Nothobranchius furzeri: one gene and its partner. The protein of the gene in region 2 interacts with the protein of the main gene of each other region in a pairwise test. Links are inferred from orthologs where the notes say so. Each region holds a gene or a part of one and is shown on either strand. Other genes may lie near its edges.

The links.
Region 1: the proteins of sufu (region 2) and glis3 interact in binary tests that used the Homo sapiens proteins (3 or more experiments, as listed by UniProt). The link is inferred for Nothobranchius furzeri from reciprocal best matches to the Homo sapiens genes SUFU and GLIS3.

Annotation. Positions count from the first base shown.
Region 1 is NC_091746.1:53,232,862-53,249,347, reverse strand, and holds the start of glis3 (zinc finger protein GLIS3), read right to left. Parts: upstream 7,072-16,486; 5' UTR 6,555-7,071; intron 5,180-6,554; 5' UTR 5,077-5,179; coding exon 4,704-5,076; intron 4,244-4,703; coding exon 4,090-4,243; intron 4,011-4,089; coding exon 2,870-4,010; intron 1-2,869. UniProt on the Homo sapiens protein: Acts both as a repressor and an activator of transcription. Binds to the consensus sequence 5'-GACCACCCAC-3'.
Region 2 is NC_091752.1:22,193,436-22,210,005, forward strand, and holds the start of sufu (suppressor of fused homolog), read right to left. Parts: upstream 7,103-16,570; 5' UTR 7,022-7,102; exon of another isoform or gene 6,932-7,021; 5' UTR 6,904-6,931; coding exon 6,755-6,903; intron 5,795-6,754; exon of another isoform or gene 5,695-5,794; intron 5,270-5,694; coding exon 5,135-5,269; intron 4,917-5,134; coding exon 4,780-4,916; intron 1,635-4,779; exon of another isoform or gene 1,585-1,634; coding exon of another isoform or gene 651-1,584; intron 585-650; coding exon of another isoform or gene 406-584; exon of another isoform or gene 205-405; intron 1-204. Other genes in the region: SCAN domain-containing protein 3-like, read left to right, coding at 406-584, 651-1,584; mettl18 (histidine protein methyltransferase 1 homolog), read right to left, coding at 11,833-12,795. UniProt on the Homo sapiens protein: Negative regulator in the hedgehog/smoothened signaling pathway. Down-regulates GLI1-mediated transactivation of target genes. Down-regulates GLI2-mediated transactivation of target genes. Part of a corepressor complex that acts on DNA-bound GLI1.

The DNA of each region.
Region 1 (16,486 bases), on a different chromosome or scaffold from region 2:
CAGTATGGTGGAGTTACTAATGCTAATAATTAGCTCCAATGACCCGAGACGTTCTCTGCTGTTTCCTGGACGCTATACCAACAGCAGCCTTCCTTGTTGCGAGCCAAGATGGCTGTGTCCATGAATGTTAATTGACAGCATGACGTAGATCTGTCAGGCTTTTCTGAACCTAGCATTTTCCTTCTCTTTTCTGTCAGAAGCTAAAGCAGGAAATAGGGGTAGAAGACTATTTTCACATTCAGCCTGCATGTTAAACTCAGAGTGACTCTTCATTTAAAAAAAGAATTTGTGGTTTCTCAGTGAGCTTGCTCTTTAATGTATAAATTGCAGTTGCACACAAATGGTGTGCTGTATCCAAATTTATGAAGTGTGATATGGAGACATATAGAGACAAGTCTGGACCTGTCCCTTATGTTCAGCGTGTAACAAGAGAGGAAAAACGGCTTTTACATTTTCTGTTTCCACCCACTCATCCATTTTTTTACCTTTGAGTTTATAACTCATCCTCAATCTTATTCAACTGAATTAAAACTGTTTGAGTAAAGAGAGAAAAAAGTCCAGAACCCTGGAATTTGGCTAATCTTGAGTTAAATAAATATATATAAAAATGAAAGCGTAATAAGAATATTGTTCAAGTTTTTTTTATTACTCTAAATATTTCTAAAAAGAACAATAAGTATGAGTTTTACTTCTTGTTTCTAGTTGTTCCCTTAAATCTTCCACTGTCAGATGAATCCAGAGAACGATACAGCACCATGGCAACAGAGCTGGCTTCAGGTAATAAGTGAGTATTTTGGAGCAGAAGGTCGACTGCAGGTATGCATGAAGTTAATAATTATCTCGGTGAAAGCACCAACATGGAGTGTGTTTGTTAATTACTCAGCCAAGTCTCACATGCTTCCTCAGAGGCAACAAGGAACAGAAAGAAAACTATGTGATCAATAAAAACGTTATAGTGCAGATTCTGTTTCTTCTAACCCTGAACCCATCCGTAAGAGAGGTTTGATCAAACCACTCAATAAATGCTAGACCGACTTCTACGTCACTGATCTGAAAGACTGTAAAATAACTCTGAAAGGTTCCAACGTCCTTTGAGTGAATAAGTGGCCATGCAACAGATCAATTGTGCCCACAAAACATCAGAAGGCTGTAAAAAAATTTTAGTTTATGTTTACTCTGTAGATTTTGAAGTAATGGAAGTCACATTAGGATGTGGATGACCAACAAATCCTTCAGGGAGAATTCCTTTAAGAATTACACACCCCTGGCTGCAAAACCAAACTCCTTCAGGAAGATTTAGGAAAGTCTAGAGAAGTGGTGTGCAATGGAATAACTTTCAAAACTGTGATCTTCATAGACGAGTGACTGGAAGAAAACTTTTCCAAGAAACTCCCAACAAGTTAAGCATCAGAGGTTTGTAAACAAAAACAACAGCGGCCTTTAAAATATTTTTTCAGAAACCATAAAAGAAGGAAGTAATTTACCTTATTTTCTTGAGCACATGTGGTGGCTTTTAATTTTTATTTATTTCAAAGGATGCATTTTCCCCAATCTCTAGCTCCAAGGTTGCACATAAGCACAGTCGTAATAAGCATTAAAAGATAGTAACAAATCTTTTGAGAAAGAGCAGTTTGGCATCCTGAATAAAATCCATCCTCCAGGCCAAAAAAGGTAAACAGTAAAGTACTAGATTACTGTGGCATCACCTTTCTAGAACTACAGCCAAGTTTTTCAGACTTGGTGAAGCCGTGGCTGCTGACAGCTCCAACAGCTACTAAAGGATCATTGTGCCATGCCAAATACAAAGTGCTAGACCCCTTTTTGTGCTTATTTAACAACTATATCATTGAGGTAATTCTCATGCCAGTTGTCACAGAGCTCTGCTAATTGCACCATGGCTTAAGTTAAAAAGAGAGGGAGGCCATATTTGATCCAAACCTTGGCTAAATCTCATTGCACATGAAGGCGTTTACCCTGACAAAGGCTGTTCTTTTGGCTGCCTGCGGTATTAAACTCTTCATCTCGATACTGTGGCCTTGAATGGCACAAACCAATTCAAACTTAGCTCCACCATTCATCATGCGTCTGCTTTGAAGGCATTTAGTCGTCCATTTCACTTTCAAGTAGAAAAAATGTCATCAGAGTGAAAGGGACTTTTGCTATATTTGCATTTGGAGGAAAGAAACTCAAGACAGAAAAACTTAGACAGCAACCCATTACTTTGTTCTTTTTTTTGTGCGGTTTAGTAAAAAAATTAGTTTTTTACCTGACATGTTTCAACTGACGCCTCTAGTCATCATCAGAGATCGCCGGTGTTAGTAGCGTTCCTTCCATTTATCCGCAGACAGCAGAGGACGATGTCAATGTCCTCCTTGCTGATGGCACTGTCTCATGCGTGGTCCAATGTGAATACTCCATCGTCTCTGTTCATGGTTTTGTGTGTAAGTCTCCATATTTCTATCACTTCTTTGATCCATCTTTTGTATTTTTGTTGTTCTGTGTTTATGATCCGTGTACTGTCCCAGTCCACTGAATGGTTTTCCTTTGTGCAGTGGTCGGTTACGGCTGTTTTCTTTATTGTACTTTATGCTTCTTGTGGGCTTCTTGCGGGCAGTAGAGGGCGACATCGTCCTCTGCTGTCCGCAGATGAACGGAAGTGACGCCACCAACACCGGCGATCTCTGATGATGACCAGAGCCATTAGTCGAAACATGTCAGGTTGAAAAATAATTTTTTACTAAACTGTGTAAAAAAAGAACAAAGTAATGGATTATAAAGTTAAACACAGAACGGACGTACAAAAGAACTTAGAGAGCAAGCTTCTGAATTCAGAAGGAAGGACTAAAAGAGACTTGTGTGCAAGTTGTACCGAGCATTTGTTGGGTTTCTCTCCTGAATGAACCCTCATGTGGATAAGAAGTTTGTATCGGGCGTTGAATGGCTTGAGTTTGCGTGGACATCCCACCCAGTAGCACGTGAAATCCTCAGCCTTTTGCTGGTCCACGTGCACCTTCTCTATGTGCCTTACCAGCTCCTCCTTTTGGTCACAAACCGTGCTGCAGTCCAACCACCTGCAGCAATGGGTGCCATAGTCCTCCACCTCACCTTCCTCCTCCTCCAGCATCGGAATCTGGGGTAAAAACCCAACTCCGTGCCTGTGTGGAAGCATGGGGCCTGAGACAGGGTTCTGAGAAGAAGCCTTAATTTTGAAGGGATGTTTGGAGATTTTTATGTGTTGGTGTGAGTGGTACGGTGGTGGTGGTCCTTGTGGAGTAGCAGCCTCTTGTATAGTGTCCAACAGCGTTGGCTCTAACATTAGAGGTGGGAGAATGTTGTTGAAAGTTTGGCTGCAGCTGCCTGAAGTCGTCTCCAGGATCCCTCCTTTGTCTGGAAGGCACTGCTGCTCCACCATCATGTTTGCCATCTGGCCTTCCAGACCCAGTCCCTCTTCAAGCATCTGCAAACGGCCACACTCTGACTGTGGGGCCAAGGCTTGTGAGAAGCTGGCTATGCTGCAGGGATGGTTCTGGGGTATACAGCGACCTCTCACCCCCAAGAAGTGACCATATCCTTCAGACTGAACTGGTGAGAGAGTGCAGTGGGAGGATGGAGAGCTGCGGGAACCATTGACATAGGCCACAAGGGAGGTTGGCGAGGTGCGTATGATGGCATTGAAATCAATACCCATGACATCAGACAAAGGCGACGTGGAGAGGGCTCTCTTCTTTGCACGAGATTGTTGGGGGCTTCCAGCCTCAGCTGCAAATAGGTACGAGGGAAGGGAGGCAGAGGTGCTTGTGCCACCCGATACGGTCGTGCCCGACATGGCAGTTCCAGGAGACAGGCTGAACTGTTCGCCACCCTCATTGGCCTGGGTAGAGCTCTGAGTTACTCCCAGGGGAGGAAGCACACGGTAACCATATGGCCAGTCATGTTTGCCACTAAACACTGACTGTGTTTCAAACAGGCTGAGGGTAGTTGATGCCAGGGACTCTCTGGACAGTAATGACCTGAAAGAGATCATTTTTATTTTATTTTCAGGAACTTTTTGCAAGCGCACCATCACATGGACCCACTGACGGTGCTCACCTGGCATCGGTGTTCGGAACCGGCATGCTATGATACGATGGGAGCTGAGGCACCGCGGGGTATTGCTGGCCTGACAGAAAACTACAGGTCAGCGTTTGGCTAGCACCAGCTGCCTCACTGCATACACCCCCATCGGACCCAGGCGCTGCAGAATCTGCTGGACACAAGCCAATTATTTAGTAAAAAAAATATACAAGTGAAAGCAGAACAAAAGCTTTTATCCACATTTAAAACAGAACTAACTCAAACGCAAAGCTTACAAACTGGATGGTGGATTCATTTTCCTCATTAACCTAAACAGAGCCGAGATACTCTGCTCCGTTAATCATTTACACGGTTTTCACCTCCCACCACATGACTGTAGAACTTTTAGGTTCGGATTTTATGCCTGATAAACTATCTGTAAACAAAATAAATGGTTTAGCAAGATGACAGTGAAGTGAGATCATAGTAAATTACTTTAACTTCTGATTTCTTTTGGGTGAAATGTGCTTTCAATGAATGAGTGACTACGTTAACGTGTAATTCAAACGGCTGTTAGAGCAGAGCTTCGGTTTCCTCCTAACAACTGGTTCTGCTGGATTTTCTTAACTTTTCCTGGGTGATGCCTTTACCTGTAAAGCTGTGGATGGAGGAGCTGTGTCTTCTTGGTTTGGCAGTGGTTGCTGTTGTTTTTAGGGAATGCTGAGCAGGTTGTTGCATCTGTGTTGTAGTGGACTCATTTGGATGTTGTCTGTTGTTCAACACCTGTCCCCGGAAGCTCAGGGCAGGCAGGACAACAGGGCCTCCGCTTTGTTTCCCTGATGTAAAAGTTTGGTCAGTTCCTCTTTTCACTTTCTCTGTCCTCCCTGTGGATGAGTAAAGTCTGGCTTGTTGAGGAGAAGACACGGGCATCCTGATGGATTGGGACTGGTGTCCTCTAATGATACTTAGTGATGGGGACATATTGCAAGGAGACACTAGGAGCTGGCAGCCCTTTCCACTCATGGTTGAAGTAAATTCCTCAGGGGGTATGTGCTCATGAGTGAGCGGCAGGGTTATTGTGTTTTCAAAGTTTGCTGTGAAAAGAAACTGAATCCAAGGTAAACACCTAGAAAAAGATAAACAGACCATAATTAGGCATCGGGAAAATTCCAACTAGAAACCCTTGACAGATTTATCAAGTATATTCCTTTATGTCACACATCACTGTTTCAGTTCAACAAACAAATATAACCTTATTAAATACAAAATTACTTATGATATTAAGTGTTAAGGAACAAACATGAGCCAAATGGCTTAATTTTTCTTAAATCAGCAAACATATGTTAATATCAGACAAAGATAGTTGGAGAACTCAAAGGCCTGTCTCACATTTGCCCCCAGAAAACCATCCCCAATACTGTTTCATTCCCTGTACACTTGGGCTAAACCTAACTCTGTGTGGGGAGCCTAACTCCTCCCTTTCAGGTCGGCTCATGTAAGTGAATAAGGCTAAAATAGTTATTTTCAGGTCTGCTTTGCTTGAATCACACGCAAGTTGTGCTTCAATTAAAACGATAAATAAATCTGTTTGTTTCTACCAAGGTCTCGTTTGAGGATGAGTGGGGATAGGGCCTTCTCAGTGTCGGATCCAAAGAAACAAGCATCTTCTGTTGATCAGGGATGATCTGGCTTTTACCTCTGTGTTAGCTCTGTGTTGTTAGCTTTCTCCCGTTCTCATTTTATTTGTCTTATTGTGTTTTTGTGCTTCTTTTATGTTGTTTTATCAGTTTTATTATGTCTGTACAGCACCTTGGTGGCATATTCTATGTCTGTAAGGTGCTAGATAAATAAAAGTATAGTTTAAAGTTGTGTTTCGACAACGTCTTTCATGTTATTTGAGATTTATTAGCTTGTAAAGGTCCGTAATTAAAGTGACTACAAATCAGAAGTCAATTTTTCACATAAAACCTGAAATAATTTTTGCCGACTATCAAAAACGAGCACTTCACTTCCTTTGCATCAAAACATGTCTTTAAAAATACACGGACATCATATGTTAAAATCCATGGCACATATCAAACTTTTATCATTTTTGACAATAGAATTAACCGGAAGAAGCTGGCCATGACTTGGGCTCCTTATTTCAGAAAAAGAACATAGCTGCAGCCAAACATGGTGGTGGTACTGTGATGATCTGGTGCTGCAGTGCAGCTTCAGGACCACTATCTATCTATCTATCTATCTATCTATCTATCTATCTATCTATCTATCTATCTATCTATCTATCTATCTATCTATTGGTATCTATCTATCTATTTTTTCTGAATACATTGTCTTAACTATAATATAAGGTAAATTTTAAATGTTAAATAATTTTATGGGATCATAATTATCAGGATGCCAACTATCTGCTCAGTTTAACCACTAAACGTTAACAGCAAACAAATAAAAATTAAAAAAAAAAACGCCAGTTTCACTTCGTCCATGGCGCGTGAACTCACCTTTTACCGTTTCCACATCACATCGGAGCTGCGACTTTAACATAGAGTTGTTGAAACTTTGGTACAAGTCTGAGAGCAGGCGGCTCTCCGCTCCCCAGCTTCCCTGCTCTCTCATTCAGGAACTTTTTTTTTGGTCGCCCTTCTTCCCGGTTACACTTTCGCCCTTGGCACGGCTGCTTGAGAATTACATCATTCAAAACCAAGTGCAGCTTACGAGTAAATTATTAAGGATGCTTTTGCGAGTTTACCGGTCACGCGCCGTTTCCAGCTGTGTGCGTTTGTGCGCGTGACTTTACAGTAAGTGAGCGCGCGACTCATGCGACTAGAACTGTTGGCACGCAAGTGTTTACCTGAAAATAATAATGAATTAAATATAATTCTTTCAAAATTTTGCATGAACACAACCAGATTTTCCCACTCAATACAAAGAAAACCAACAACAACAACAACAACATTATTATTATTATTATTATTACTACTACTATGAATAATAATGATAATAATAATTTACTTCAGCAAATTGAATCCTTTACAAACTGCAAAAATAAATTAGAATCTCAATCAAAGTTGGAGATGCATTTGACATAAACATTAAAACGTAAGTAAGTAAGAAAATTTTATTTATATAGCACTTATCTCAGACATAGAATTACAAAGTGCTTCACATAGATCAAAACAAAAATAAAACATAAAGTCATAAAAAATGTCTGAGATGCTAAATATTAATATATAAAATGCAAGTATAAATTTTCTTAGGACTAAACCCCGTTTTGCTACAGAACAGCTTTAATTATTTGTTGAACAATCGAATTGCTCCATAAAGGCATCACACAGGTGCAGCAGATTTATCAGTTCTACACCCATGCAACAATATTCAGGTAGGCTGTGGTGTCTAAACCATGCTCAGGTGGTACTAAAGGGTCCAAAGGGGGCACGAAACATCTCCCCCACACCATGACAACACCGGCAGCAGCCTGAAGTGTTGATACAAGGCAAGATGGATCCATGCTTTCATTTTGATAACACCCAATTCTGACCCAACCATCTGAATAGAATAGAATAGAATAGAATTTATTAATCCCAGTGGGGAAACCTGCTACAGCAGAACATTCACCAAAGGCAATGAGTTATTATTGTCACCTTCAACCACTAAAATCAACGAATAAAAATAGAACTTGGGTTTTCAGAACTATGCAGCATAAGGGGCACAGGCATTCTAATTTACATCTACGTTAACATTTATGCAGTACACAATGTTGAACACCTATGAAAATTGCATTGCATTGATGTTATTGTGTAACAGGATAATGCCAGTACCAGGTAAACTGAGGAGTTAAACACTCTTACTGCAGAGGGGATGAAATAACTACGGAATGCTGCAGCTGAATCAAGACTTCCCACTCTCTTTTTGTCCAGTTTTAGGAATGCTTTTCGAATTGTTGACTCACTTATTTTGCATCTTTACAGCTGTGAGACCCAGCACCATGTTGAAAGTCACCTTCGTCCCCGTTTTCACTTCATTCTGATGTTTGGCGCTTGAACTTGAAAGTGTCGTCCTCATGTCTGGATGCGTCAAAGCATTGACTTACTGCCATGGATCCAGTTAGCAATTTGTTTTAGTGAGCAATAGGGGTACCTAATAAAGTGGCCTGATTCAGTGTAAGATGGTGTGATTTTAGTAAAGAGCGACAGCAGCGATTCTGTGGAGAGAAAAAAAAATTAAACGTTCAGTCAGAAAAAAAACCCCACCAAACAATTGAATTATAATTTAAAATCTGGTGTGTTAAATTAGCGAGATGACAAAAGATGTTTCATAATTAACAGGGTGTCACGGTCTGCCCCTGCCTCCCTGACTGTGTCTCTCTCCTGCCCTTGATTAGTCTTTATTGTTTTGACCTGCCCCTTGTTTACCTGCCCATGTGCTCCTCATTTGCCCTGTGTATTTACACCTCCCTCCTTGTATCAGTCTTTGTCAGATCATTGTGGTTGTTTGTCATCGTTGTCTTGTGCTGTTCGTTCCCATTCCACCATTAAAACCATTTTACTTTATCTGAAGCCTGCATCTTTACCTCCTGATCTGCGCCACCACACATGGTCCATACACTCCTACACCCGCAACGTGACACAGGGAGCACAAACTGAACTTTGACATGTTCGATGAAGTGTGCAGTGGCATTAAATTGATTTGCTGACATCTCAGTTTTGTAAAAACCTTTTAAAACACCAACAATTTTTATAGATCGCTTTCAAGAAGTCACATTTCTTGTAATCGTTTAGAGTGGTTATGATCAATAGTTCTTCAGGTTTGCTGATAGTCTTCTAACAATCTTTCTTTCCTTTTTTGTCCAGTCCCTGAGCATGGCATACAAATTGTACAGTCAGATGAGCAGCATCTGATAAAAAGAGAAATAATCCATCCCACACCTGGATTTTTTTTAACACTGAGGCCAATTATAACTCTCTGCGAGACATCAACACAGATGTTGTTCTACAAAGAACAAAAGAAAAAACGAAGTTTAGTGATGTCAGATTCATGTTCTTGACCTTTAGTTGGACTTTTAGTCCAACAAGTTTCTTCTTGTGGGTTTTGATTATTAACAAAAACAACCAGGAAGAACCAGAGTCTAGATGATGTAACCCACATTACACCTGCACAGGTGGATTACACCACGCTTCATTTGATCAAGTATTAAAACTGGATCTGCAATTTTTCCCCTAAATGTAACTTATTTATATTAAAAAAACTTTTAATGATCCTGTATTTTATTACACAGTGTAATATTTCAGAGTCCAGCTTTAAAGTAACACTGTTCCTGCCTTACTGGTTGAAAGTGGAATTACAACTGTCATAAACATCCCTGCAGCACACTGTTGTAGCTAGCACTAACAACAAACTAACATTAACATGAACCAACTAAGACTTAAATAAACCACAAAGTAAAGTGATATAATATTATTTATTTTATAATTTTAAACATATTATTACTTCCAAGTCCATTTGCAACAAAGCCAGGTCACCATCAGTCCGTGTTTTTTTTAGCCTCCTTTAGTTCCCTCAAACTAGTGTAGGCAGCGCTGATGTTCATTCAGGTTTTAGCTTTTTGCTTCAAAGACATCACTCTCTTACTTTTATTTCCAGGCTCCGCCATGATGCCAACAGGAAAAACAAATTTCTTATTGACGATTGGTGGACCGAAAATGCTAACCAATAGCATTACAGCTAACAGCTTCGTTCACGTTTTGAGATTTGTGCAGGTAAAGAGCGCCCCCCCTAGAAAAACCTACCCGCTCCAAAAAACTATCCAGTGCGGTTTTTGGTCAGCAGAGGGCTGCAGGGTGGTGTCAAATATAAAACTGGTCAAGTTTCTACCCAATAATCACTGAGATAAATGTTAAAGCTCTGGCTTAAAAAAACAAACAATCAGTGGTTACTTGAAGCTACCAGAGATAAAGCTGGTGTCCTAGTAGAGAAACGGCTGCACTGAAAATTTCAACGATGACAAACCATGAAAATCCTTTTTTGTATAGGACAATGACATTGTTTATTGAATCACAATAAGCTGATTAAAATTCACAATTACTCTTGTTTTTCCCATTTTGTTGCCATCAAGCAGTCCCAGTTTGTTTTTGGAAAATGGATTTGTAAATTACCCTTACCCTCATCTGCTCCTCCACCTGTTTCCCCTCTTCCTCCCCCTCCAACACTCCACACCTCCCATTGTTTGGATCCTTTTTTATTTGTTGCTGAAGTGTTTGTCTGTGGATGATGCTCCAGGATGGCATGGAAACCAGAATGTTTACAGACAGGGACGGTTTTGCAGAGCCTGTGCCTCAACAATCTGTACTAGAAGTGAACTTTAAGTTTGTCAGAGGATATAAAAATAAAGCCAATCATTTTTCCTGAGAGGTATCTGGCTACTGGAGAAATGAGCATACAGGCATAATCACAGCAGGGACATAATACTGGGCACAGGGATTTTGCTATGTGTTGTATTGTTTTAGTTTAACTGCAGAGCTGTAAAAAGTATTTGGCCCCATCCAAATGTATTCTGTTTTTGCTTATTTGACACATTTAAATGTTTCAGATCAACAAAGTAATCAGACAACGATAACCTGAGGGAATTCAAAAAAGCAAATGTTCATGTGATGATTTCCTTATAAAGGTCATCCAAACCTCAAAGTAAAAAAACAAAAACATGTATTCGAGCCTTAAACGTGCTAAATGGTTGTAAAACTACAATAAAGCATTTGTTATGACAGAGTCTTTGTTTAAGCGACACTGGAGGGTTCTCTAGCATGAATGACTATTTTAAGGTCAAAGGTCAGGATTTTCTGGTAGAAAACAGAATTCAAGGATTCACCATCACAGCAAGTTACAGTACCTGAAGCATCAAAGCATCCTCAGACCATCACACTACCGCCACCATGCTCGACTGTTAGTGTAAAGTTCTTCCTAGTGTCACATCAGACGTAAAGGGAAAGCAGAAGTCTTGAAGATCATTAAGATGTTTTTAACCTCAGTGTTGTTTTGATCAGCAAACGTTTTGTCCCAACAACCCTTCATAGTTGTCATATTTGTCCCCCAGCTCTTTACTATTGTTTAATCTGAACACAGCTTTCCATATATTGTGGTTAATCTCAGCTGACTCATGATGTAACAAGTGAGACATTTTATATCCTGAAGTAACAAAATGGCATTTAAAAAAGAACATTTTGTATTTACTTAAGTTATCTTTGTCTGATGAATCAACAACATCAGAAATCATGAATTTTCTTTTTAACAGCACTTTAAATGAAAACAAAAATGTTTGTTGAAATCAACATTAAAGTACTGCTAAATATTTCCCAACTGCCTCCTGCAGAGTTAGCTTGATCACTGGTCGTTGCTTTCATCCTGAATTGAATTCACCATGATCACTCTGTTCCCTCTCTCACCAGCAGGGATCACTGTTAGTACACTAATGGCTTGGCACTGCTGTTTTCTTGGCAGCACGGTGCCACTGAACATTTCATGATGTAGAAAAAAAAAAAGAATAAGAACAAAGACCTTCTCTAGATGTCAAAGAATGAGGTTTGGAGGTTTGTACATATAAGACTGCCACTTGTTTACATAATTAAAGCAAATGCTTCTTGTCTTTAAGGAGTCTCTTTTTTTTTCTTCATCTAAGCGAGCCTCTGCACCTTTCTAAATGTCACAAAGTAATAGGATGTTGAAGCATCTGAGCTGGAGACAGAACAACCGAAATAGCTTCTTTACTGAGTCATGCATCAATGCTCGGAGCAACAACAGGTTGAAGAACGCATTTAAGGATTTGTGAAGAAAAGATAACAGGATCGCCAACAAAAAAGACAAGATAAATTTAGACGTAGGTGTGGACCAGTAACGAACAGCTCCATTTGTAGCAGAATTAATGCTGAAGCAGACTCTTCCCCCACTTATAGAATCCATTTTCTCCCTGACAGCTTCAGCCATCCTGGAAGCAGCGACGCATTCAAAGTGGTGTCAAGATGAGAAATCAAGGGTGATTTCTCTTTAAGTTATATTACAGTGGTCACTTACATTAATGCACACCACAGTGAACCTGTGATTAATTAATCTACTTTTGATTTGCTAATGACATTTCAAGTTAAACACAAGGTTAGCGAAGGCTGAGTCAATCCTTTTAACTGCAGAAGTAGGGAGCGGTTGTTGCAGTAAGTGTAGGAGATATCAATTTATTGGTACCATCCCTCATCGTAACGACTCCCATTAGCCTGCAGCGCCTCGCATATTCATGCTTGGGACGTTCGAGAGTTGCACAATAGACCAGAGTGAATTAAAAGTCTCACAAACAACAAAATCACTCATGTTGTTTTGCTCTTCGCGGTCTAAAATTGACGTTTTGTGAGACGTACAAACCTGGAGGGTTCTAAATAATGTGACCTTTGATTCACAGCTCATCATCTGTACATGAAATACAGAGGGAAGAAGTCCCACGTCCATCCATCTTCCTCTATACCGTCAGTACCAACATCCAGATGAAGATGAGTGTGAGAGAGATTGGCTCCAACTCAATTCATCAATCCGAGTCGCTTATAATCTCAACGGAGAACGATAAAATCAAAGAGGGGACAGCGGGGAGCCCAGACGTTTACATCCTGTCCTCCAGGCTCTGTCTCCTGTCCCTTTCTACTGTATTTTTCAACAGGATGACTCCAATAAAAGAGTGCTGACGCCACAGCGTGCATGTTTAGATCTGCTGGTATGCCACAGGCTTGTTATAATTTGAGCACGCACTCAGGATGAAGCCTAAGGGTGAGTGTGCTGCAAGCTCCTTCGTTCACGTTTTGATATTATTCACGCCGCGCCTCTGGAATTGCATCAAGGACAGCGAGGCCCGAAGGCTGGAACACAATCAGAGGATTCGCTCCAAAGCTGCCCAATTGACATCACCTCCAAAGGTTTCCATCAGTGATTGGACAGCATAAAACACAGATCAAAATAAAAATAATGTATGATTAGTCTTGCATGTTGCTTCTGGGGATACATAGTTTTGCAAAGGGTTGTGGGGCTTATGTTCCGCTCAGGGATTTTGTTTGGATTGATTAGGTGCAGTGTGACGATGAGAGCTGTCAGATCATGTAAGACAACCTAGATGTTCCAGACGGAGAAGAATGTGTCATTAGACTCCTGCCTGTAGCCCCCCAGTCAGATCCTCCCAACATCCGTCTTCATTAAAGAGGTTGCTCTCGGAGCAGATGGTCATTAACAGCAACCCCCTTCCTTGGTCGCTGCGTCCACTCTGCAGCAGGACACTACCTAGAGGATGCCCGGCATCCCCGTGGGAATCCCTGAAAACCGCAACAAGGAGAAAGTGGTGCAACTTGGTAATGACCACCCTGGGATCTTCATAAATATCCTTTTGAAATATTTCAAACTAGAAATAGTGAAGCATGAAGGCTGGCCTCCTTAGCAGGGCTTTTGATGTTGGACAATACTCATTGTACACAGTTTTTGCAACAAGTGAAGACAATCATTTACAAAACTTTTTCAATCAAACTTGATTTTAGCTTCAAAGTGTCAATGTGTCATTTTTACAGTTAATCTCTGGAAATATCCATCTGAATGTTGTTGAAAATGAGTGAAATGATGCCCAGTAGAAAAATATCGGCAGCGTTGTAACATCTAACCATAAAAATCAAGTGTAAAATACATGCAAGTGGCTCTAAGTCTCTAGGTGAAGCCATAATAGATGCCATGTTTTCTTCTACGGGAGCCGGTGAGGACAAAACGCATTTACTGATTTGCAACAAACGGTTACAAAACTTTAACCATTCATAACCATTGTTGTTTTACACATTTACCTCATCGCTCTTTGCCAGTGATGAAAGGGAGTCTGATGTGCTTGTCATTTTGTTGGAGGGTTTGTTCCCAGGGATTTTTGACCCTAATGGCCATCTGTTGGTAAGGTCTTACTTGAACACAAAAAATACTGCTTGCTTACAATGATTTAGATATGTACTGCCCCTATCGCCTGGGAAAATACACACTGTCACTTTAAAACAATGAAAATTTAAGACAAAATTCATTGTAAACATTTCAAACTCAAGGTTTTCCCTGAGCCCTACTGCACCCCTAAACCTGAGGTCATAGAAAACTTATCTTTTATACTATGATAATTTGTTGGAGTCCCATATTGCAGACTTAGAGGCAGAGAGGTAATGTGAATTTAGTTTGATTGATAAAGAAAATCGACAAAGGCTGAAGCATGGGAGGGTCTCAGGGAAATGGCAACACAACAGTGGCAATAACTGGTGGACCTGGCAACAAGCTAGAAAAACCAGAGAATATATGTGAAGGGAAGAGGCGACTGCAAAGTGTTTGCAGCTGAGTTCATAAATGGATGAGGAACAGGTGTGAGAGGCTGAGTGACAAGGACAATAATGAATCTACATGGAAACATAACTACAGAAACATGACTAAATAATCATGAATGTAGGAACAAACACCCAAATGTCAAAATATAAACATTTGCTTTGCGCACAGGTGGTGTAACTGAACTGTCATTGGAGACCAAAAATGTGTAAGCTGAGTTAATCCCTGGTCTCTACCAGAACAGTGTGCTTGCTTTATATTTACATACATGTTTCTGCTTTTTAAACTTGATTTTAAAATATCCTGTTTTGTGTTTTCAGTTATTTCTATTCGTTGACTGGCCAATGTGTAGGCAGGGAATGTGCTATGTAAACAAATTAGCCTTTCTTTTATTTAAAGGGGACATATTTTGACTTTTTTATAATAGCCCAGTGGTCGATACAAGTTCATGTTCATGAAGGTTTTTTCACTAAATCCCTCTCATGTCTGATTTCAGCAGTTTTACTCTTGATATTTTCAGTACCTTCCAGAATGAGCCATTTCAGGACTCTGCCACTTTATGATAATAAGCTGCTGGCCATGCCTACCCATCTCTCATTTGCCGCTATAAGCCAAGAAGCTCTGATACCTGGGAGGGGCTTGTAGAGGAGCCACTGCTCCTGCAGCAGCCACTGTTTTTGGTTCTATTCAAATTTCTCCATTTTTCCATCACAAACACTAAAATAAAACAGTCTGATATTTTTTCCTCATTTAGAATGTTCATAGAGCCACATAGCAGCACAAAACATTGCAAAAGGTGAGTTTTTCATATCAACTCCCCTTTAAAAAAACTATTTTCTAACTGACATGACAGGGTACAGAACCATCCATCCATCCATCCATCCATTTTTGGCCTCTAATCCGGGGTCGGACCGCAGGGGCAGTAGCCTAACGTGTCCAGGGTCTTCTTTTAGGTCTCCTCCTGGTTGGATGTGCCCAGAAAACCTCATCAAGGAGGCATCCTAACTAACGCCCGAGCCACCTCAACTGGCTCCTCTCGATGTGGAGGAGGAGCGGGTACAGAACTTTATTATCTAAATCAAAACGCCCTAAAACCAAATATGGTTAGTTTGGGTGACTTTTGAGACACCAAGCAGTTGGATGATCTGTAGCAGTGAGCAATGCAATGAGAAATGGGTGTATAGAAAGCTAAATGGGCCAAATTTCAATGAAACAAATACATAGATGTTTGCATTTGTTTCTCTTTCTTGTTAAATGAAACCATGAACCCAAAACTGAAACATGAACTGAACTGTGACTTGTGACTAGCATTACACTGAAAAATGCTACGTAATGACAAGAAAACCCAACACCCTGACAGTTGGAGAATAGCTAATATTTCATTTCTAGCAAAATATCAAATATTATCCCAACTGCTCAAGCTACCATAGGACCTGTTGCTTTGGTTTCATCATTTCTTGCTGAAATCCATCAGATTAGATACGTTGTTAATCTGAAGAGCCCTGGAGCTGTGAAGGCCTGACATTAAAACAGACAGAAAAAGAAAGTTGCAGGCATCTGTGTAAAAAGTCACGCTGGTTGTATTTGAACTCTTGTCTCAGGATGAATTCAGTAAATCTTATTGACAGACTCATCATAACGATCTCCAGCGGCAGGCGCCATAGATGCCAATTACTGTGGTAATCACTCTCTCGCTGAGAGCGTTGATCCAGACAGGGCTAAAGTATTATCCATCTTCATCATATTCATTATCAAGCAGCAGATGCAGGTGTCCTAGCCTCCCACTGCTCCACACCATTAGTGACGAATAGACAGAAGGACTTTACTGACATTTCTTCAACAGAACACGCCCACGTACCGTATATTTATTTTTAAAGGGGCAAAAAAAAATCTCCAGTTGACTAAAGTGTTGAGACACACGCCAAGTGCACAACCTACATTTCCACAGCATCAGAGTCATCAGGTAGACAGGCTGCCGCGTCCTTCGTACGCAGGAGGTCAAATGTCACCCAGCAGGGGGTCTGCAGCACATCATTTGTCCTCTTCTGATTATCCTCTGCTGTCTTTCTAACAAGGA
Region 2 (16,570 bases):
GGGCTGGGGGTAAACGATTATTTTTAAAACGATTTTTCTGATGATTATTTTATCGAATAGTCGACTATTCTAATGACTATTTAGACAATTAATCTAATGATTATTTTTCTATTGCACAGTTAATAAAAACCTAAAAAATCTCTAATAAATTCCTCAGAAAAATTGATAAATTGTTACTGTAAGACAGAGATCACTAATAGGCGGACCTGGGTCCGGATCCGGACCGAAATGCTGTCTGGTGTGGACCCGAGCCTAATGCCAAAATAAAGTTCGCCTAATTTTATAACCGCTTCTGGCCGGTGCAGCTATTGCATTCTTTACGGTAGTATTCTAGCATCCACGAACACCCACAGGCCAATTGTGCGCGAGTTTAGTCAGACCACGTGACACCAACAAGCCAATAACATGTTTTATTCCTGCCAGAAAATACAGGCGATACGTAGCGAAAATAAACGGTTCAGACGCCGGAGAGAAGGAGAGCAGCGAAGAGCAGAAATTCGAACAGAGAAAACGAGAGATTCAGGCGGAGAGCGGTGGAAAGAAGGAGACATTCAGGCTAAGAGCAGCGACAAGGAGAGATTCAGGTGTAAAGGAGGAGGAATTCAGTTAGAGAAAAGGAAAGCGGCGACAGGCGACAAGGAGAGATTCAGGCGGGTGAGACGGAGAGAAGTAGAGAAAGCAGAAATGGCAGCCTCTAAAAAACGGAAAGTGGACAGCGAAAATAGAGCATTTAATCCAGAATGGACAGAGTCATTTGTCTTTGTTCTTCCCACTGGTGGCACAAAACCTGTTTGTCTCATATGTTCAGAAACAGTGGCACTTATTAAAAGTGGCAATGTGAAACGCCATTATGAGACAAAACACAAATGTTTTGAAGAAACATATCCCCTCAGATCAGAAGTAAGATCAGAGAAAATACGTAGTCTCAAAGCCCAATATGAACAGTCCACCAGGATCCTGAGCCACACGTTCACTGCTCAGCAACGAGCCCATGAGAGTTCCCTCAGAGTTTCTTGGATTTTGGGTCAGCACAAAAAACCATTTACTGATGGAGAGGTTGTCAAAGAGTGTATGACAGCAGTTGATGAAACACTGTTTGAAGGAAAAGAAAAACAAGAAGTTTGTGAAAAAATAAAGCAAATCCCCATATCAGCATCATCTGCTACAAAGAAAAGTGAAATACTGACTCAGGATGTTGTAGCCCAGCTAGATGAAGCCATACAGAAGGCACCATGTGTAGGTTTGGCTGTGGATGAGTCCACTGACGTGTGTGATAATGCTCAGCTGTTGGTTTATGTGAGGTTTTATTACGCAGAGCAGAAAGCATTCTATGAAGACCTGCTGGGTATTACTCCTCTTCAGACCAGCACAACAGGAGAGGACATCTACCTGGCCATTATGGAGATGTTGGCAAAGAGAGGAATTGAGCCTTCAAAAGTGATTTCAATAACTACAGATGGAGCCCCTGCTATGATAGGGAGAGAAAAGGGAGCTGTAACAAGAATGAAGAAAGACAACCCTGACCTCTTAACCTACCATTGCATTATTCATCAATCTGTCCTCTGTGCCTCCCTGTCAAGATGAGCATGCTGAGGTGATGACTTCAGTGATGAAAATGATCAACTTTCTTAGAGCGTCCTCTTCCTACCAGCATCGCATGCTTAGAGAATTCCTCAAAGAAGTTGATGCCAATGCTGATGATCTTCTGCTGCCCAACAATGTGAGATGGCTCAGCAAAGGCAGAGTTTTAGCACGCTTTTGGGCCATCAGGAGGGAAGTAGCATCTTTTTTGGCAGAGCTAAAACATCATAAGGCAACACAGTTGTCTACATTTCTATAAAATGAGAAGCAGATGGACAATGTTGCCTTTTTGGTTGATATAACTTCACATCTAAACGAACTGAACTTGAGGCTACAGGGCAAGGACAATTCCATTTGTGAACTAATGACAGCTGTCCGTGCCTTTCAGAGAAAACTTGAAATGTTCAAGGAGGACTTGCAGGAAGACTGTGTCCACTTCCCAGCAGTGCAGGAACAGGTTCAGGGACAGCGAGATGTCTCGTCGTTTGTTGTCTTCATTGATAAACTTATTGCTAACTTCAGCAATCGTTTTGATAGCTTCAGCATTGGCCAGCAGCTCACCATGTTCATTCAGAACCCATTCCTCATCACAGATGTCAGGAGCTTCTCAAAGGAAGCCACACAGCATTTTAAATGGGTCAATGCCAGGGATCTTCAGATGGAGTTAGTTGACCTCCAAGCAAACTTGGCCATGAAAGAACTGTCTGCCAGGACTGACCCGTCCTCATTCTGGCTCCAAATGGTTCCTGAGACAGCTTTCTCACATCTAAAGAAAGTAGCCTTGTACATCCTGACCATGTTTGGTTCCACCCACAACTGTGAGGCAGCGTTCTCCACAATGAACATTATAAAAAACAAATATCGTTCCAGGCTCACCAATGAGCATCTCCACACATGCATGAGGATGGCTCTGTCTCCATTCAAGCCCAGGTTCAAAATGTTGGCAGGACAAGCAAGAGCTCACTTCTCTCACTAAGTAAAAATGTGGAAAACATTAACCTAAATATATGTTCAGTTATTACATGTGTGCAAAGTCACATTTTTTAAAATCATTTTAAGACTTTTTAGTTCGCACGTGAAGAGGAAAAATGTAAAAAAATTAAGCTTTTTCTACATTTATTCTGAAGTTAGTAGTTTGTGAAGATTCAGTTGCCATGTGTTATTTTCTTGTTGACACTTTTTTCTACTTTTATTTAGTAAATGAGAGAACATTCCAAAGAAATCATTTACATGTTCAACACTTTAAGTGACAATAAATGTCATAAGTATTTGAATTACACTGAAGTATTTCTGATTTGATATGCAAATTAATAATGCAGATGTTGATAAAACTGCTAGGATACTTAAATACATGTCACACTATTGTAGGTCGGACATAATGATCTTTCGGACCTTGGGCTAAAAAAATTCTTTCTGACTGGACCTTTTTAAATAGTATTTGTATACCCCGCTGTAAGAGAATAAACATACAAACGCTCCCGGTGATTTTCTACATCTGCGATTGAGACGGAGCAGCGCATCTGACCCCGGAAGTTGTTGTCCGTTGCCGGGAGACGAAGGTGGGCAAAACGGGAAAGGAATCTAGTAGCGGACAGACATTGTTCCGGGTCTTATTTGGTGGAGATGTTAGTGAAGGTGGAGAAGAGGGCAAACTAGAGGAAAAACAAGCAAATTCCACCTCTATTTACAAACTCCTGTGGATGCAACAAGTGGACGTGGTACGTCGACTACCGGATCTGACATTGACAAATTTTTAGAATCGAGCCGTCGACGTCATCTAGGTTTCGCTACAGCCCTAATTTTTACAGAGTTAATTATTTTTAAAATATATTAAAACACAATAAAAGAGGTTTCTTTAAATACAAACAACTCCATCCTTCAGCATACTCTTCAAACTTCTGAATCAATTTCAAAGTGCTTCTACTAGTTTATAAATCACTCAATGGCATGGGGCCAAAATACATGTCGATCTCCTTCCTGTATATAGGGAGCCTAAGTCACTTCCGCATCATGGAAGAACGAAAAAATGAACGCAAGTCAACGGGGCTAAAAACGCAATTTGCTAATTCCGCTGGTTATGTGCTATGGATTTCACATATGATGTCAGTGAATTTTAAAGACACATTTTGATACCAAGAACACGCTTTTTTTTTTTGGGGGGGGGGGGGGGGGGGGTAATGATATTTTAGGTTTTGTGTGAAAATAAGTCCGGGACTACAGATGTGCTTCACGAAAGTGACGTCATCGAACCAGACACGGAGGAAACTGAGGGAAAATGGCTGTAAGTTCAGCGAACTTCCCACAGGACGAAAGAACCACCATAAATCTGGTCATTTGGTAAGTAGCAGCTACTTTGTGGAGAGGAGATTATGTGGTGATGTCACATATGCGACGTGCCGATTTCTAGTTTGAGGTCATGCTAATTACGAATTTTGACAAGCTGATAAATCTCAAAATACGTGACTGGCGTTGTCGAAACACCCATCATTACTTTTCATTTAAATTGCAGTACAACATATGTGCAATCCAGGGCGTAACGCAAAGCGGATTAGAAAATAGCGTTTTTAGCCCTGTTGACTTGCATTCATTTTTTTGTTCTTCCGGGGAACCATGATGCGGAAGTGACTTAGGCTCCCTATACGCCCAGCAGAGCTCTGAGATCCTTAGGAAACAGTCAGCTTGTAGAACTGTGGGTCAGAACCAAACAGGGTGAAGCTGCTTTTAGCTACTATGCTGCAAACAGATGGACCCAGCTTCTTTGTGACCTCAAATGTGCCCCAACTCTAGAAACTTTTAAATAAAAATCTTAAATTTTAATGTTCTCCCTATTGGAATGCACATTAAATTGCCACTGTGCATGAAATGTGCTATACAAATGAAACTGCCTTGACTTCTATTCAGCTATGATGTCAAAATACTGTAACTGCAAGCAGCATGCACAAAAAGCATGACCTTTAAATTTACAACATCCTGCTGTGGTGGCAAAACACAAACATGCAGTAGATGATCTATAAACTGTGGCTGAATCGATCAACACTCTCAGTTATCCTAGAGGATGCATGACTGAATAAAAACAATTCTTGAACATTAAAAGTTAATCAAAAAGAAAAAAGGCAAAAATAAATAAATAAAAAAACAAATTTTTTTCTCCAAGGTCAATCACTGCAGATTTGCTAAAAGATGACCATTTAATCTTACCTGACTGGAACACATAGCGAGCCAAGCCTTGCATGAGTTCAGCTGGCCACGTTGGAGGTGCCGTCTCTCCCGCCTCTCTTTTGAGTCTAAAAGTGAGCTCAAACCCAAACCCACTGGGTCCATCTGCTCCAGTAAATCTGCAAGAACGGTGAGGCAACACTGAGCATGAGCCAGTAAGATCAGTGGTTTTTGCATGTGGTGTTGAAGGTTTCACTGTAAAAGGTGTATAGTGCAAATATTTATCCGACTGACTGGTGACACCCCACTTTTTAACTAAATTAACTAGAAATTTACATATTTTTTACACAAAGTGGCTTGTCATATTAGAAAATAATAAAACTTTTCCTTCACTCACTCGTGAACACGATTGTCTCCATAAAGGTCACTCAGGCCAAAGCTAACATAGTGCCAATGCTCCTGGACGTCCTGGGCTGGACAGCCCATGTTCCTGTACATGCTGATGTAGTCTAAAGGGTCTGGTCCACCAAGCCTGTTAAAAGAGCAAAATGCAAACCATCAGTCATAGAGCACTTAGTTAGCATGTGGGGCGTAAAATTACTTGCTAGTTTTTGTTTTCATATTTAGTTCTTGCTTGACTTGTTTGATACTGGATAACAGATGTTAGCTGAAGCATCTAAAGTTTATTGAAAATATTGTTTAAATCATAACATCATCATCACAACATATAATATTATTCAAGCCTTCGTTTTTTTATAGCTTTTTTCCCTTTTTGAGCATTTGTTATGATGTGTAACCATGGCAACAAGCTAGTTTACAATCGGGAGCAGCTGATTAACATTGGAAAGGCTGAAATAATACCTCAACTGAAGCCACAAATCCCAAATGAGCTAAAACGCAAGAAGCGTGGGTGCAGAGCGGGAGCAAAACGGAAACGGAGAAAGAGGAAATTCAAACCATCTCTTCCATTGATCATAATGGGCAATGTGAGATCACTGGCCAACAAGATGGAGGTCCTTTCAACGACTCAGCCAGAGTTTCTGCAGTTTCGGAACCACTGGAGGAGATAATGCAAAGAAGGATTCTCCAGAGAATCAAGAAAATTATGGACAACCCTGAGCATTCTCTTCACAAGACTGTCCGACAACGGAAGAGTGTCTTCAGTCAGAGGCTTCTTCAGTTTCTCTGCAACAGTAATCACTAGTGGAGATCCTTCCTGCCAACAGCCATTGTAATATACAACAACTCTTTGATGACTTGATTATTATTATTATTCTGAGCTACTACAGCAATCAATTTCCCTCTGGGATTAATAAAGTATTTTTGAATTGAATTGTACTTCTAGGAATGGAAATATAAAATATTTGCTTTCTTTGATCTATTAAATGTCCCTGGCAACATTTTAAAAACTGCTTAAATATGAGTTTCCATCATAAATGGGTTAAGAATAAGACCTCTACCCTCAGCACAACTACTGAGCAAATATCAAATCCTATTTAAAACAGTCTAATGTGATAATGAAGATTGCATTTCATATTTTCTTGTTTTATACTGAAAAAACAACGTTATAGGTTGCCTCACCCCAATTTTCCTCTTTCCGGAGATTCTGGGGATTAAAGTGTAATACTTCATGTAGAGTTCAGGTGAAATCTACATATTATCCTAGATAGGTTTATTCTTCAAACACCATGCTAAAAGTATTACTGTAGAATTATAAGATACTGAATATTTGACAATAAATCAGTTAAGAATTATAACGTCAAATTTTCTGTATACGTATTATTTTATTAGGTTGTCTTTTGAATATTGCTGTGCTTGTATCGTGTTTTGTAAGGGACACATATAGCGTGAGCAGTTTTTTTTGGCCACACGATCGTTTAGAAAGTTAGCAAAACTGTTTACGTTAGCACGTAGGCTAAGCTAACTGAAGGCTAGCATTTAGCTAAAGCTAAATAAACGCATTCACAAACTTCACGCAGGCATAATTATACCAGCAAAAACAAAACATGTTACATACCAATACTTAACAATGGCAGTAACTTGCAGAGGGTTGGCCTGCTCGGGGTAAAGTCGCCGACATTCTCCATAGATAGCCTGTAGTCCCGGAGGAAACAGCGGCACCAGCCCGTGGGCTGGGGCACCACTGGTAGGCCGTACTTCATCCATGCCAGGGCCTCGAACAAGTCACTTTTTTCTATAAAGAAACAACGTATAATCCGTTTAGTTAACTTGTTCACCTACATGAATGCTTCACAAACGAATTGTGTAACCAGAAATAGATTACTGTGCTAAAACGTTGTTGGAGCCTGTTGCTCGTCCTGGTACACAAAATAGAGAAAAGGGAGCATTCAATTGTTCAACTATTGGTTGGGCCGGTGTAAACGTCATTGAGTGAATGGTGTTGTTAGCCAATGACAATGAAATATGGATTTAAACATGACTGTGATTGGCTGAGTGGTTGTAAGAAGGCGGGTATATGTTCAGGGTTGGGTCCTCATAATTCAGAAGTTTCTCAGGGGGCAGATGATAACATAATTTTAGAGTTTCATTTTTGAAAACATATGGTGTTAAAATACGCAGCAAAGTGTTTTCCATTGAAACGTCTGAGATGAAATTTCAAAAGACTAAAATAAATAAATAAATGAACTAATGTTACAGCTTAGATTTTAAGAAATATATAACTAAACTAATATAAAACTATGTTTCACAAGGTTATGCCAGGAAGTAAAACTTTTGTGAACAGCATTAATGGGCTGTTTTTTTCTAAAACTATGACTCATTCCTTATAAATAGTAAACTCAAACAATTGCATGTCTGGTTTTGTTTGGGTTCATGTAGTCTTTTTAAGAACTTGTTCTCTTCACATTTCTTTGTGCTTTGTAACCAACAAATCATCACAATACTTAAATAACTAAATCAAATATAAAACTGAAGTGAATGTGTCATGAAGGCCGGCTGCACTCACTGATATACATTTGGCAAAACCACCATTTAAAAAAACTACCACAACCATAAAGCTGGGCATTTGTTGAATTGCATTAAACAACAACGCCTAAATATCTGCTCCATATAGCATGGAACTATAAATAAGCTTGGGGTTTTACTTAATTATTGTCCAGAACTCAATGAAGACAACTGCATGATAATTTGTTCTTTATTAGTTGTTTTATTTTATAACATCAAGACAGTTACATACAAAAAATTAAATGAACATCATATAAACATACAGATGACATTCCGGGTCACAACAGTGATAATAAAATCACTTCTATATTCATGTACATCTATATCTGTTTCCTAAATCATTATTGTGTATAGGCTAATCTATTTTACAAAGTTCTGTAGACAGTATTGTGAAAAAAACACAGTATTAATGTGACGTTTCTTCACATTTATATTTTTGGTGCATTTTAATGTAGTTTACATATTTTACAAAGTTTCCACTGTGGCTCAACTATATAATAACTATATTGTTCTGGTACAAAAACAGAAGTAATTTTAAAAACTGTCGTGGATCACAGTGAAAGAAAAAAAATTTGAATTTTGATCATTATGGCCTGGGAACAGGAGGATTCTCAGGTTTACAGAGAACCCAACTATTACTGAGGGCGTGAGTAAAAACTGTAGGGAAACTTTCAGGCAATAGATTAAGAACAGAAAATATACGTACAGACTCGTCACTCTGAAAAGCTCAGCTTTGATATTGTGACGTGGCCGACCTATGATTGTGATGATTCCGATGGATGTTATGAGCATCAAGTTGATATCATCTGTTTCATATTTGATGGCTTTTGGGTTCAAATGAACAACAAAGAAATTCCATGTGTTTCAGAATGAGTGACATTCATGCATTTTTTCTTTTAAACTTGGGGAAATGAACCCTCTCAGACACTTAGTCAAAGCTTTTTCATATTTCTAAAATACAGTTAAATCACATATTCCACCCATTACCGCACATTTTGTCACAGCTGGCTCTAAAAAACTGTCAGTGAGCATCAGGAAGGGCACAGAGCAGCAGCCCATCATCTCTCTTCTTCATTACATGGGTCTTACATTCAGCTACACTTTGCACATCTGATCAAATGCTTAGTTAGTGTTAAAGTTGCTACAACAAATCAACATTTCAGTTATACTTAATTTAATCCAAACAATAATTTAGAATGAAAACATCAGAAAGTGACTTTTTTATGATTTAGACGAATCGTTACTCTAGGAAAGCAGAAAATTCATGTGTTTCTGCTTTTACACGGTCTCGACCACTGCTGCCCGGTGCTGACCCATTTGATAAACCAGAACCACGCCAAAAGAACTGAGCCCATAGATGACACCTGAAAATGCCACCATCTATGGAATTCAGTTCTCACAGCAGGGAACGTAACAAATTGACATCTCCAGATGCATCTTGAATGACATCAGCATCGGTAGACCAGCTGTTACCCTGTTGGATTGAAGAGAAAGTGTTTAACCCATACATAAGATTCAAATTTGCAGTTACAGCAAAAGTTAACGTTTAGACGGAAAGAGAGTGTAAAATATTGGACGAAACATGCTGAACATGGTGTGAAGTCACCCCATTTCTCAAGAAACCCAACATGATGAGACGATAAAGTCAGCTCTGCTTTTCCAGTGTAAAATTGAGCAAGAGACCACCGAACTGGTGACTAAACCTGATCTCCAACAGTTATTAATCAACAGTGGCATTTACAGCAACCTCTAGTAATCTGGATTACAGAAAAAAGTAGAAATAATGAGTTGTGACTCACCATTTTTAGATTTGGACAACCTCTGATTTTTTATTTATTTTATTTTTTTTTTATCCAAACTTAAAAAAAATTGCATCTATTAAAATGAAAGTCTATCCACCAAGCTCTCTGTTCAAGGAAACGCATAAAGTATTATCTTTACCTCCTGATAGGGTGTGATTACATACATACAGGTGGTAAATGTGTTATTAAGCCTAATAAACAAAAGTTGGATATTACTCTGGACTGTACTACATTGCACAGATTCCCTCCAGTCAGTACAAAAAAAAAAAAGAAAAAAAAAGAGAGAAATAAAAACATCTCATCCAAGGTCTGGAGTCGATATTTACAGCGACTGAGATAATTAGTCAATGTTATCTTGGAAGACTTTGGTTTACTTGTTAAAGCCGGTGCTCTGTTGGAGAACAGTTCGGTACAATGAACTTTCTAAGGAAGGCCACACCTGAACACATCCAGGAAACTCATATCTTTCTGTCAGTTGGACTGGGAAACAACCGGTTCTGCAGCCTGGACCAGTCTTCTTACAGGACAAGAAATATCCTAAGGAGGTATTAACTCAGACTCAAAGGCTATATAAAGTCTTTAATAGACACCTAATTTTTCATGGTCAGGAACTGCAAAAGAAAAAAGTGCTATTTGAACCACTTACCTGAGTCTGTCACTGAAGATTTGTATTTCCAGATCCAGGATCTGTCGGACCCTGCAATAAAAGGCAGATATTCCCCACCCTAAAACACACCTCAGCAACCACTTTCCATTCATCCACTGTCTGAACCCGCTTTTGTCCACGTAGGGTCGCGGGGGGGCTGGTGCCTATCTCCAGCGGTCAATGGGCAATCAGGCGGGGTACACCCTGGACAGAGAGCCAGTCCATCGCAGCCCAGCAGCCACTTTGTCAACAGAAAGTCATCTCAGAGCATTTTCCTATATCTCTTCCCACTTCAACTGCACGTTCGGCTCCTCCAAACCGTAAGGAAGGATGTGGCAGAATGTCTGACATTCAGAGCAAACAAGCTTATTTATTAAAGCCTCCCCAGTTTTTTTTACACACTCCCTCTATACGGTAAGCCTGACTGTCACTTCCCAGTAAGAAGGAAGCAGTGGGAGTGAAAAGCACGCCCCCTCGCAGTGAATCAACACATAATAGTTTCTGAGGAAAACCATCTGACTTGCCCTGCCCCCTGTTCCCATAAAGCAGGCAGGGGAAAGGCTGCGTACACTCAGGGAACCAGGAATTCCCCCGCAGGCCACAAACAGCTGTCTAGATGAGAGCTGATACGCTGGAAGTTTGCTAGGCCGTTTGTGCACACAGAAACTGTTTGGCGTGTTTAACCAGTGTTTATTACTTAAGTATATTTGCATAATAAGAAAATGGAAAATCTGTTCACACACACGCGTGGGTGTGAAAATGCATCGTCATGCTTGCGCTGCTGACTTAACGTTTCCTCGAGGAGGTTTGATGGGTGTTAAATATTGTTTTTCATCAAGTCAGCATGATGGTTTTGCGTTTTAGGGATGGGTTTTGAGTAATGTGGATATTTGCATATTAGCAATAGTCTAATGAAAGTCTGTTAGCTATTCAATCACAGTCAAACATGACGAAAAGCTTTTTTCACACCGTTCCATTGTTTCGACTGTAAACCCCCCCCCCCCCCCACTGATTTCATCGTCCTGCTGCATCTGCAAACCTTCAGCTCGAACTAGCCCAGACTTGATGCATTCTTCCTCCAAAAAAATCCCTGCTAGAATATTCCAGTGGACTTCCTTGTTCTGGGTGGAACAGGGATTCCAGGTGGTGTCGGAAAAAATAACAGCGTGGTTCCCTACTCAAACCGTCCTGTTTATGGGATGTATATACTTCTATCGTTTTGCTTTCCAAAAGGGTCCCATCTAGATTATATATCCAGTTGAAAAAGAGGTACAGAGACCCCACAGAAACCCACTATTGATGTGCAGTGGCGCTAGAATCCACTTTCAAACGACATCCTTAGGCTGGTGGGATAAGTTGCAATTGACATTTTGTGCTGGACTGCAGAAACAAGCCTGGCTTTCATGCTGGCGTTTGAACACGGGGGGAAAACACTCGAAAAGGTCACCGAGCCCATTTCCTTTCTTTTCTCCCCGTGCATCTAAAGACCTGCAGCAGCCCCTTTTCACCAGCACTTCAGTTACTGACATATTCAAATTTCTATAAAGGAAGCAAAAGACTGAGCAGGCGATGAAAGAGCAAAAACAGAAAGACTTTTATTCGTTTTTCCTTGTTCTCGGGTTAGGGTTACAATTAAAACCTCGTTTCCATATGGTAATTAATGAATAATCATTTCAATCCTGTTTAACAGATTTTGGGCTGTTTGAAGCGAAGCGCTACTACGTGTCTCTGAAGGCCTTCTTCACCATCCCACAGGTGACAGAGAGAGAAAACACCCCTCTGCTCCACAAATGTCTCAAACAGATGTAGCCCACCGCCGACACCAAAGTAGTGCGACTTGGTGGCGAGGTAGACCAGACCATCGGGTGCTAACAGTTTGTGGAGGGTCTCGTGCAAAGCAGGGTAGTATGCAGTGTTGTAGATGGTCTCTGAGGTGAATATTATGTCGAACTTGGGCTTTGGTTCTCGTTTAAGAACCAAAGGAAGAAATGTCCTCCAGTCACCAGAAAAGAAATAACATCTCTTGAGTAACTGGTGCCGAGAAATGTCAAGAGCTCTTTTCTTAGGAGGTGGATGGCCAGAGTTGACCCCCTCTTGACCTTTCTTCTCACTATCCTCTTTCACTTGAATCTTCCCTTTTCCCTTCCCTTTTTTGTCATCCTCACAGTCCACATCCTCGTCCTCTTGACAGTTTAGCATTACATTCGGAAGGGTCAGCTGCTCGATGACTGTACTGTTATAATCTTGGAAGTGGACCTGTCTGGCTCCTCTCTTCAGAGCCAGAATTCCCAACAGTCCAGCTCCGCAGCCCAAATCCAGAACCGCCTTGCCCCTGATCGTCTCTCCGTCTTTCTCAAGCAGCTCTAGTAGGTCATAAGTGCACTCCCACACCTTCAGGCCTCCCTCGTACATGCCAGAGATGAGATCAGACCTCTGCTCTGTGCTGTGAGAAAGAATTTTCTCCTCGTCTTTTCTCTCTGAGGCCGTCCTCTCAAAGATGGTCTCATTGAGGAAGTGCAGAGGAGGAAGAGCTCCAATTGCAACTGTTTCAAATACAACATCGATAGGAAGGAACTGTGGGTCAGGTGGTGGAAGGTGCTCTTTGGCTTCTTTTACTGGCCCCGCTGATACGTTAATGTCTTCTGTCTGCAAACACAAAGCAGTACGTGGTTATGACAGTGGGTTTCAGTCTGACAACAGCTCCACTTGATTAACATTTTACATTGAAGTCAAAATCAACACAGCCAACTAGCTTCTGCTCATCTCCCATGTGGTTACAGAAGAGATGTGGTATGAAGGCAGGGTTTATCTTTCTGGCAATCAAGCAATGTGACATCATGGCAAAAAAGAAAGGAGGCCAACCCAAAGTGTGTTTTTTTATGAGAAATCTTTTATCAGTTTTGATGAAAAGAAAAGACAAAAAAAGATTACTATGGTGACAGTGTGAGCTCTGGACACAAAGACTAGTCTGGCAAGCCTTCCTATATATGTGACTATATAATCCTAACCCGACTTGCAAAGCTAAATTATTTTTGGTTTAGTAAATGACTTGTTGTCAAAGTCATGTGATGTGAGCCTTGATGCCTTCATTGGTTGAACTAGTAGCTTACCTCTGTCACTTTTTATTCATTCTAAAAATAGCCTAATGACTAAAAAGCAGTTTGACTGGTTACCGGACTTCAACACGAGACTCTTACACATCTACCATGTGATTCCCCAGTGTGATTAGGTAATCGCAAATGTCGTGTGCCGCACCCACCAGACGAGAAAAATGTCAGGTAAAAAAAGAGGACAGTGTATTTGTTGCATGCCTCTGTACTTCTGTGTCTGACACAATCCCCATTCGGGAGGAGCCTGCCAGTATTTTTATTCACATGACTATTACCTATGAGGTCACAGTTGAAAGGCAAAACATAAAAATTATGACCTGATGCTCTCTAGTGGAGGCACACTAAAAACATGGCTATTTGATTATTGCATGCATTAAAGTCTTCTATATTGCAAACACCTAATGCTTTTTATGATTAAAGAATGATATGTAAGAATATAGTGAGAATTTTACAGTGAGAAAATCCCCAAAGAGTCTAATGTTTCAGTCATTTGGAAGGAAGGTTGTACTGAAACATATTTCATTTCCAGCTGGCTGCAGGGAACTGTCTGTTTTTCTCCTTTCAAAACAAAGAAAGGAGGGACGTAACTACTGTTTATCATCAGTGAGTGTGGGGTTGCCATGTCTCCTGCGAGCTAATACTGCAGCGTCGACAATTGTAATTTGACAAAGGCCAGCAAAAAGCTCCAGAGTTGTTTAAAGTGGTTGCAAATTTTACCACAGGATGTCATTTTTACTTCATTTCTACATAAAGCACTAGAGGTGCTGAAAAAAATCGATTAAAGTCTGAATCAGGATTCTTATTTAAAAAGAGTCAGAATCGATTCACAAAGGTTCAGAATCGATTCCAGGAACTCAAATGTTTGGCATGTTACAGGTTTGAGATGCACTTTTGTATGATTTATTGGTCTTTGTTAGGAGAGTTAGTACTGCGTTTACTTTTGTGATCCCATAAATTGGGATGATTTATGTTTGAATCTGCTGATAAGTGGGGACAAGAATGCATTTTTTTTCCATACACAGAAATTTTAGATATTCTCATATATATTTTCTAAGTTGAAAAGTGAGTACTCAGGATTACTCATGTGTTTATCTAAAGTTATTGATAAATGAGAGAAAACATTTTCCTTTGTAAGAAATCTGAGGCACTTTTTTTAAACAGGTCAAGGACTCAAATGTTAAACTTGTTTCCACAGGTACTTAAAAAGTATTTGACCGTGTTACTTTCAAAGCTACTGTTAGGTAACTAAAGATTTGTTATATTTTACAAGGTAAGCAAAAATAAATGTTGCCTTTTGGTCAAAAGATTGTTTCTGTTTACAGTTTTAGAATCACTTTATTTTACCTTGTAAATTAGCTTTTTTTTTTCTAGCATGACCAGTTTAAAGTAAAATAAAAAAATCCCATAGCTTTAACTAACTTGCACAACAAAGTAGTTAATCCTGGAACTGACACTCTTTGTTAATATTGATTGCGAATCGATTTAAACTGAGAATCGATTCTGAATCGAATCGGCACCCCAAGAATCGGAATCGAATCAAATCGTGAGTTGCTTTAAAGTTGATCAAATATTGAACTCGGAAAAGGTTTGATGGTAGTAATAAGTAGGGATGGACAATATATTGGCATCAATATCGGTATCGGCCGATGTTAGTCATTTTTAACACATCGGTATCAGTTCGATAAATAAAACCGGACCGATATTAACAACAGATATTTTTTCCATCTCGTCTCCATTTGTTTGCCTGTTTCAGAGGGTGAGGGGAGTGATATGTATTTGTTTAGTCATGTGAACAGTAGATGAATTAGTAATAAGTGTAGTTATACAAATAATCAGACTAAAATAAGATTCATTTGTAAAAATGGTTTGTTATGTAATTAGATGGTGCAACTAAGAATCATCCTCCTTGAACCGTCACCTTATCGTGGAGGAGTTTGAGTGCCCTAATGATCCTAGGAGCTAAGTTGTCTGGGGCACTTTGTGCCCCTGGTAGGGTCCCCCATGACAAATTGGTCTTAGGTGAAGGGTGAGACAAAGAACGGTTCACAGGATCTTTCATGGAGGTAAAGTCAAAGAGTCGGAGTACCCGGCCCGGAGGGTTACCGGGGTCGTACCCTGGAGCCAGGCCTAGGTTTGGGGCCTGTGAGCGAGCGCCTGGTAGGGCTGGGCGATATGGCAAAAATAGAATATCACGATTTTTCCAATATTTTATCACGATTTCGATTTTATCACGATTTTTTTTTATCCATGAATAGCATAACTTCAATTGCGTATTAAAGAAGAGAAACATTGAATAAATAAACATTTATTCATATTAGGGATAATCAGCACAGTGCTAACACACTTATATTTTAAACTCACACCAGAGATGATAAAAGCCCTGAGAGAAACAATTACAAAAATCAGTTTTTCTCGTTTTTCAAGTAACTTAACATAAATTAAAATCATAAACATATTTAAAGTGCAAACATGTCAATTGCAAACGTATTGTGCAAACATTAACTTGTTCAAAATACTATGTAGCTCCCAGTAGCTCATGTAGTGGATAGTTAAGCTCAAATAAGGCTCTGATGTGCGGCTGGACCAGAGATCGCTTGTGGTAGCAAATAACTGCACATTCTGAATATTTTCTGCAACAAGTCTCTAAATAAAGTAAAATTTTCCAGTGCAGATTGGAGACAACCCATAGAAGCACTGATTTGATCTCATTTCAGAGAAAAATAGAACAGGAAAGATGCACCTAATAAATAAAATTACTAACATAAACTCAGGAATCTTTCTTTGCTTCACTGTTCTGGTGCTGAGAATATCACTAATGCGGATCAAAGGAGATACACAGATGAATGCACCTCTTATTATTTGGAAACTACATTTACTGCAGCTGGCAGAGGCAGAGATTGTTTCTATTGATACACGGAGTTTACAGAATCATTTTAAATGTTAATAGGAGAAGACTGCAGAAGGGAGCGGTAAAATACAGGGGGTCCCCCAGCAAAAACAAGAAACTACGAGTCTGATGAAACCCGCTGGTTTTCCACCAGTGACCGAGCTCAGTCCGGTACCGACACCGGCTCGGCAAAGGGTGGACGAGCCGAGGCGGCGTCGTGCTCTGCTTAAGAAGCGGTGTTATTTTCCTGCTTCAGAAGAAGCGTCCAACGTGTTTTTACGCTTTCTCCGAGACATGTCACGTCACTAAGTTGTTAGCGCCGCGCGCTAAGGAAACCCTGCGTTCCTCTTCGGAACGAAAACCTCGTTGTCGCTCAGCCGCGGCGAAACCATGTTTGTTCACACACAAATGCAAACAAGCGGGG